Xenopus tropicalis: one gene and its partner. The protein of the gene in region 1 binds, or shares a complex with, the protein of each later gene. Links are inferred from orthologs where the notes say so. Each region holds a gene or a part of one and is shown in the gene's direction. Other genes may lie near its edges.

Evidence for each region.
Region 2: med19 (region 1) and med7 share a complex: the UniProt entries of both Homo sapiens proteins name them as parts of the mediator complex. The link is inferred for Xenopus tropicalis from reciprocal best matches to the Homo sapiens genes MED19 and MED7.

What each region holds. Positions count from the first base shown.
Region 1 is NC_030683.2:55,877,468-55,882,180, forward strand, and holds part of med19 (mediator of RNA polymerase II transcription subunit 19), read left to right. Parts: intron 1-1,071; coding exon 1,072-1,205; intron 1,206-4,713. UniProt on the Homo sapiens protein: Component of the Mediator complex, a coactivator involved in the regulated transcription of nearly all RNA polymerase II-dependent genes.
Region 2 is NC_030679.2:14,183,916-14,188,159, forward strand, and holds med7 (mediator of RNA polymerase II transcription subunit 7), read left to right. Parts: upstream 1-1,575; 5' UTR 1,576-1,606; coding exon 1,607-2,296; 3' UTR 2,297-2,943; downstream 2,944-4,244. UniProt on the Homo sapiens protein: Component of the Mediator complex, a coactivator involved in the regulated transcription of nearly all RNA polymerase II-dependent genes.

The sequences.
Region 1 (4,713 bases):
ACTCTAGCTCATAAACGGTGTGTACTGAAAAAGAAACTTGCTTCCTTAAAGGACAACTAAAGGTAAAAAAAAATTAAAGGTGCAATCAGGTGAACATATACTTACTGTTAATGATTAATTCTAGTGTTCATTGGTTTCTGCACAGTGCTCCTTCATTTGCTAAAAAAACTTTCTACCTGTAGTACAATGCACAGAAAGCTTCTCTTTCTTAATGAAGTTTATTTTTGGCGCACGCATGCGCATTCCTTTCTTAATGCGCCCCAAACATGCGCAGTAGCCAGCTTTCAGTCCCCTGCTGTATTGATGACGCTTGGGTCACATGACATTCCCGAGCCTTATCATTGACCTCTCTGCCCCTCCTGTCGGCTCGCATCGCCAATCACAGTTACGCTTCTGCACAGAGCATTACTATAGCAACACCCTGAACAGAAGCGACTGAGGTCTGTACTAATCCTGCATAACTAATTGTTTACATTATCTACTGGGAGAGCGTGTGTGGGGTCACTAGGAGGTGCATGTGCAGTATGAAGCATAGACAGAGGGAAGTGACGTGGTCTCAAATAAATAAAATGGCGGCCACAAACTCTGGAAAGAAGCCGAACTTCTATGCATTGGTGCGATAATTATGTAATTATATTTAAAAAAATAAAACAGCGTTTCAGGAGGGGGCTTCTAAGGAACATTTTAGTGTAGTTGATTGAAAACTGCTTTCTTTCTTCTTTAAGTTCTCTGGCTTTGCTTTATGTACTACAAAAGGACACATTTTAGTCTGCTTTTACCTTTTTTATCCGTTCATTTAGCCCCATAGGGAAATGACCAAACTGTAGATTTTATATAGATAAAGATATATATATATATATATTTATATTTACATTTTGGTCCCATAGCAAATTGACCAAACTAAGGCCTGTGGCCTTGTTCTTTTATATCCTCATCCTTGACTGAAATAATAATTTGTAAGTAAAATAAAAATTAACAAATAAAATAGCAATGTTATAGTTTGGACTAGAAAGCAGAGTATGTAATAAAACTAATTAACGAAAGTGGCATTTCTGTGTCTACTTTTTGTAGGTATGATTGATACTCCAGGCGCTCAGGATAACAGCAGTCTACGTTCACTGATTGAAAAGCCACCGATCTGTGGAAACTCCTTCACTCCACTAACAGGTGCCTTGTTGACTGGATTCAGACTGCACACTGGACCAGTGAGTATAATGTTTTTTTTTTTTTTGGTGCTCAGGGAATAACAGACAAAAAGGGTGGGGGGAATAAAGCATTAGTTAGGTAACATAAACCAATTAATAAATATTTTTATGAATAGTTTATTTAGATAAAACTGGGTTTTACATATAGGCTGTTTTTATTCAACATATATTTATTTATTTTTTTATAGAGATGCACATTGTTCAGGTATATAGTTTTCTTTATACTTGCTTTGGCCAGGCAGTACCTACAAAGCTTTGGTATGATGCAAAATTTTTTAATCTAATATATAGTGATAATAGTTACTTCAACATTTTATATAATTATTGTGATAATAGTCTTTAACTTTTAGACACTTTTTGTGCAGAGTTCTTAAAATCTGACTACTTGCTAAACAGTCAGATATTAATTGTAGTAGAAAAGGTAGTTTCCAGTTAAGGAAAATGGCAGTGACCGTACATTTTGTTGCCTGTGCTACTGTGGGTGACAAAACTTCCCATCAGCAGTAATATGTAACACCAGTGGGGGGAAAACGTGTTGCTTACGCTTTCTAAAGTAGCCCAAAGTTGCCTCATGAGGTAAATTCAGGCTACTTTGCAACTCTGTACAGAATCATCATTTCAGTATACAATAGCAATACAAGCACTGTCTATTCTCATGTGGCCTTGCCAACATGGGTGGATTTCTTTTTTTAAAGGAACTGTAACACAATTTTTTTCCCTTCAAAATATCCTTTCTATACACTTTGATTATTAAATAAATCATATAGAAATTTCCATAGCAGTTGTGTTTTTTTACGTCTCTGATTTCCTCTCCATGCCCCATCTGCTAATAGCGAAAAATCACTCAAAATAGACTCTGAAGAATGCAGCATATTAACTTCCAGATTAAACCGAAAGTCTAGCAGTTACCGGATTGCCTTTTCAAGCTCTGCACAGTAAAGCATTGGTAATGTAATTTATTCTGAAATCACGTAGAATATTGCATTTTTTTAAATGCTACATATCTTAATAAAGTATTTAGAAGGGACATGTTAAAAGTTATTTTTTGTGTTACTGTTCCTTTAAAGAGATATTGACGCTTAAAATAAAACTGTCTTTTAAATAAATCATTACATTGTCTGTGAATCATCTTTATAATTTTGCCAAAACATAATTCCTGATGCTTTTACATTACCTATCTGATCCCCATGTTCCTCTATCAGGGGGCATTTGTGCAGCAGAAGTCCGTTAGCATTAGAAGCTATAACTGACAGGTTGAAAAGGAACAGTCAGGTTCAGGAACTTTAAGTAACACTTACTTACAAAAGGAGCCCTATCGGTGAAAAATGGTCAAAATGACCCATAGGCAACTTTTTATATACATTAATATTTTCAAAAGTAGTTTTTTCATGTCAGTATCACTTTGAGGTTTTGGGAGATTACGCCCCCTCTAAACCTGCCAGTCAATAATAATCAAAAGTGACAAAAAAAAATTCTGACCTCTTGCCTGTACCTGCTGTTCCTCAGCAGGAATATCTCTTCCAAGACATAAGAGGCCTGCTCACTAGATCTCCCTGACTGTACACAGAGAAACAGCTGCCAGGGTAACTGTACAGACAAGAACCAAGTATCCTCTACCTAGTGGGGCAATGCCAAAATGTGAAAAATATTTCACCTGACAAATACCCTCTCGATGACAGAAATGGCTATTTTTATGCAGCGCTGCTGGGGTTACCTGTCAGGTGAGACACCAGTGGGGGAGGGGGGGCACACCACAATGTTTTTGGGAAAAATGTGCCACAGTCACAGTTTCGTCACATGTAATAAGGGCAAGATGCACACTTCCCTCTCATTAAAGCACTTGTGTTTTAAAGGAGAAGGAAAGGTAAAAACTAAGTAAGCTTTTTCAGAAAGGTCTATGTAAATAAAGCCATAAGCACTCACAGAAAAGCTGCACTCTATCAAAAGAAACTGCGGATTTCTTGTCTCCTTTTTTGTAAACATGTTCTTGGGGTATCTGATTTCTTCTCAGAAAAATCCTTCATTCTAGGTGCCAGTGTCTGCGCAGTTCTCTCATTTCTCCCCTCTCCTCCTCCCCCCTTCCATAAGAATTCATAAAACTCACTCCTCCTACCCTGGATGCGTAGTGTGACGTTACATGAATTGTGTACTTTACGTTAAAACATATGCAACCATTGTATCAAGCAATGACAAGGCAGAGCAGTGTGAAGGGTTTAAAATTGGGGCAAACTCCCGTGACCCCCAATAAATTGTCTGACTTCACCTGGACCCCTGAGCAGTTACAGAGGGGTTCAGTGTAAACTGTTGTGATACTGCCGGGGTAATCCCTCTGTTTAGGGATGGTTTTTCCAGGCATGCATAAATGTCCTCTTTCACACCTCTTTAAAACCATCTGTCCTCTCTGTCCAAAATATGCACATCACCGTCCTCAAGAGTGTCCTTTTTCCTTGAGGTGTAAATAGACTGTTGAGTCTTGTCCTGAGGAGTTAGCCCTCCTATGTTGGGCCATTCTCTTACAGAGAGGTTGTTTTGTCTCCCCAGTGTATATGTCAGAGCACTCTTCACTGCACTGCACTGGACAGCATAGACCAGTATTCAGACTTAGGTCCAGTAAGGAACAAACGTGTTCTGGGTTCAGCTTTGTTCTGCTGCTGAGGGGGGGGTGTCTTGTTTCAGCCGTTTCCTCACTGTTTCAATTGCCTCGGTAGTGGGTATGCATGTGAACAGAGATGTAACATCAGAGGACACCATTGTTTCATTGATATCCAGATTTAACTCCTGGACTTTTTTGACAAAGTCCATGGAGCTCTGAATGTGGTGTACTATGTTTCCAACTAAGGGAGCTAAGATGTTAGCCTGAGGAACATTGCTAAATTTGTGGCCAACTCCTCAGGACAAGACTCGGCAGTCTATTTACACCTCAAGGAAAAAAAGACTTAATTCTGCTAAATACTGTACATACCGAAGTTGTTTTTAAACTATCAAAATGTATTCAAACATCTGTTAACCCTTTCACTGCCAGGGGTTTTGGACAAAGCGGAACTTGTACTGCCAGACAGTTTTTGAACATTTTGCACTGTTTCACTTTAGGGGCCTTTCCTCGGGGGGACTTTTAGTTTACCCAGGAAAACAATACATTGTTTTTTTCAGGACAACCTAAGCTTTCAAAATATGGTAGAGTTTTGGTGTAATTCCAATATGTATAGGTTTACCTAAGTATGTGGCATGTAGGGGCCCCAATGTGAACATACCCCCATATGATCTATCATTTCTGTCATTTCAGCTCCAGCAAAATCAACACATTTACATCATTATATGTGGGATAAAGCTAGTAAAAAGTACGCTCACCCCAGAAAGTCATATATTTTTGGAAAGTACACATTCCCCCGAATCTAAAATGGATACCCATGTTTTTCTACTCCAAAGTACCAAGCTGCAAAGCTTTTCTAAAGTTAGAAATTTTTTCCAAAAATCCCCTCAAAGCTTCCACTTTGCAGAACCTTATCTC
Region 2 (4,244 bases), on another chromosome or scaffold:
AAACCAGATGCCCTGGGTGCAGGTAAAACATAGAATATAAAGAAAGGGTAATGCACACACTGTGCTCAAAAAGTTGGATTTTTTTCAATAAACACTTTTTTTCTTGGCATTAAGTCCCTGTGTGTGCAGTATACATATATATATATATATATATATATATATATAATACCTTTCGGTCCACACTCCCATTAAACACACTTACTCCATACTTGATTGCAGGGTGCTGCACCTGGTTGTAGCTTGTATTCATTACAATTGATGATGCGCACTCCTGTATTTTTTTTAGTTCATTTATTGTTACATTATAAAGTTAAAAACATCAACGTTTCGGACCAGGTCTAGGACCTTTATCAAGATGTTAAGCCATAAAAAGTCACACACATAATGAGTCTTTATATAATACAAAATGCCTAACCCCGCCCACATTGAGCAGAGCCCCAACCCCAAATTGTGAATTAAAGAAAACACATCAGTACAATTAATTAATTGTAATAGTGTTTATTAATTGTACTGATATGTTTTCTTTAATTCACAATTTGTGTATTTTATTACATTAACATTTATTTATAAAGCGCCAACATATTCCGCAGCGCTGTACAATAAGTGGGTTACATACATTGGACATACAGAGTAACATATAAAGCAATCAATAACCAATACAAGAGGTGAAGAGAGCCCTGCCCAAAAGAGCTTACAATCTACAAGGAGAAAGGGTTGAGACACAAGGTGTGGGAATGGGCATGGCCAGAGTTGTGAGAGGTGTGGCACAGGGTATTGCTAAACTAGATTAGGGTAAGCCTCTCTAAATAAGTGTGTTTTTAGAGATCTCTTGAAGGCAGAGAGATTGGGAGAAAGTCTGACAGTTTGTGGGAGCGAATTCCAGAGAAGGGGGGCAGCCCTTGCAAAGTCTTGAATGCGAGCGTGTGAGGAGGGAATGAGAGAGGAGTTGAGGAGCAGGTCAGTATGTGCTATACAGGATACCTCGTTTCGTACGATAATCGGTGCGTGTATGGCATGTCGGCGAGTCGACCGATATCGCAGGAATCTGCTGATATCGGCCGACTCGCCGATCGGACCAGTTTGAAAATTTTGATCGGGCGCCATAGAAGGCGCCTGACCAAAATTCTCCCTTCAGAGCTGAATCGGCAGAAGGAGGTAAAAATCCTATTGTTTCTACCTTCTTACCTGCCGATTCAGCCTTGAAAGGTGTGTGGCGGATCTGACAATGTTTCGTGCGACCGATGGTCGTACGAAACATCGTCAGATCGCCACGTGTATGGCCAGCTTAAGGGTTGTGAAATGGGGTTGGGGCTATGCTCAATGTGGGCGGGGTTAGGCATTTTGTATTATATAAAGACTCATTATGTGTGTGACTTTTTATGGCTTAACATCTTGATAAAGGTCCTAGACCTGGACCGAAACGTTGATGTTTTTAACTTTATAATGTAACAATAAATGAACTAAAAAAATACAGGAGTGCGCATCATCAATTGGAATGCATATATATATATATATGTGCTGCACACACAGGGATTTATATTGTTATTTGTATGTAACTGAATGGGCTTTTTCTTTCTGTGTCACAGGTTCTCCTACTCACTTCATAATGGGGGAGCCTCAGCAGGTCAGCGCTTTGCCTATACCTCCCATGCAGTACATTAAGGAGTACACAGATGAAAACATCCGCAAGGGCCTGGCCCCCAAGCCTCCCCTCCCCATAAAGGACAGCTACATGATGTTTGGCAACCAGTTTCAGTGTGATGACCTTATTATCCGCCCTCTGGAAACTCAGGGCATCGAGAGGCTCCACCCCATGCAGTTCGACCATAAGAAGGAGCTGAGGAAGCTCCTTATGTCCATCCTGGTCAACTTTCTGGATATGTTGGACATCCTGATCCGAAGCCCAGGCAGCATCCGAAGGGAGGAGAAACTGGAGGACCTAAAGTTGTTATTTGTTCACATGCACCACCTTATTAATGAGTACAGGCCCCACCAGGCACGTGAGACCCTGCGGGTGATGATGGAGGTGCAGAAACGTCAGCGGCTGGAAACGGCAGAGAGGTTCCAGAAACATCTAGAGCGAGTGGTGGAGATGATCCAGAACTGTCTGGCATCGCTACCCAATGACCTCCCTCTTTCTGATGGCGCAGTCAGTGTAAAAACTGAACCAATGGATGTTCGGGAACCCTGTACGGACCATCATGCGGGGCCCCAGGAGGCAGCAGCAGCTTCTCTGAAAGAGACCACAATTGATAAGGATGCAGCTATGTGTGTTATCATCGATGAAATGACCTAGTCCAATAAGCAGTTCTAATCAGGACTCTTGAACTTTAGAAGTCACAAGGATTCATTGAAATGCAATAGCATGGCTCTATGTGTTGGTTGTATTCATCATGGGACTTGGCAAGGAAAATGTTTGTCCCAAGGGAACTCAGTCACAGCTATTGCTCATGTACATGTCTGTTTATTGTGCTTTTCTGCCATGCTTTTGAAAAGGCAGTATGCAAGAAGGCTAATATTTTTCAGTGTTTTCCCTGCCAGTTCATGTGTATGAGGAATGGAAGGTTGTAGTTCTGCAACACCTGGGTGGTAACTGCTTATTTGTGATTAAACAGACAAAGGACTGGGGTCAGACTTTTGAATGTTATCTAACTGATATACTATGTATGGAATCTACTCATTGCAAGTTATGTTTGTACAGTTATTCACATGTTCTGAGATATCAAAGTTTATTTAAAAGTTAATATTACAATTGTTTGTATCTTTTTCTCTCTGAATTGGAATATTTTAGTCTCAGATTGGTTTGGAGCATGAAAATCCCAAAATGGGTGCTGTTATCTGTTATAGGAGAAGTCCATATTTTGAAATGCTCGCCTTTACAGTTTATCATGTTTATTTACTTTAATATTTGTATTACTGCATTATAGTTTTAACCCTCTGTCACTTCTAGCATCTTTCCTATTAATTATCCACCTCCATTAAGGATGCTGTGTGCATTCACATTACATGCAAGCTTTCTATCTCCCCTGTGTCAGCCTTTGTGACAAAGCAAGGGTTAAATGACTGTGCTTAGGTTGGGATCAAATTCATGAATGGTAGCAATGAATATACATTTTATCATGATAGGAGGATGCTATGCTGCACTGTAAATAACAACACACTGTGAGCACTAAGGTGCAGGGACAAGAGCTGCTATACAGAAACAAAAACATGAGTACCAGGATCTGTGCATTTACAACATTCCATCCTCATTCTGATTGGTAGAATGGATATGTTTAAGTAAGCTCCACCCTGCAGTCTACAGATGCTGGCCAAAATATTTGGAAGGTAAACTTGTTGGCTGCCCCAGCCAGTTGTTATTTTCAGAAGGGTGGTGCTGTGGGCACCTAGGCCTTATTTCCTAAGGAGGTTGGTGAGATTACAGGAATCCCCATCAGTTGCAGGACAGGTGGCACTTACCAGCCTCTTTCTCATGGTCAGACCCCTGTACCTGTAGAAAAAAAAATACAACAAAAGGAGGAGGGCTGTGAAGCAAAATTTTTAGATCCTGCTACCCTTTAATATCTGTAGTTCATAGGAGCCAACTATGACTGCTTCAACAAAGGCTCCATATAGACAAGTGGGGTCATTTATAAACACTGGGCAAATTGACAGCTGGGCAGTAACCCATAGCAACCAATCAGATTGTTCAACTTGCAGCTGGCTGAAAAAAACTGTTCACTGATTGGTTGCTATGGGTTACAGCCCAAGTGCATATGTGCCCAGTGTTTATAAATGCACCTGAGGAAGGCTGTTTAGCCGAAACATGTAGTGCTTAAAGATGTCTCATTAAAACTACACTGCTTCACTGCAAATAAGCGTACTCTCCAGGTTTTTGTAAATTTATTTATAAATGAGCCCCAAGTGGTTTAGATCTGCTCGCTGTGCTTCCCCCCCCCTCCCCAGTGCAGTGGGTGTCTCACGCTGCTTCATATTTCATACCCATGCAGCACAATCTCATGTAGTTGCGCGCCGTGATGAGTCATGTAATCAGAGGCCTATCAGGTGCAAGCAGATTTGTCAAAAATGGTGGCCGCTTTCCCAAGAGAGGTAGCCAAATTAGCTGGGTGTTGCATACATTCATATAAAGGGCAACTATACCTAATTTGTTTACATTCAGATTTTTTCTTTATATGTTTAGAACTGGACTTCAAAAAAAACGGTAATGATTCTAGAACAGCTGCCTCCTTTAGCATTTAGACCCC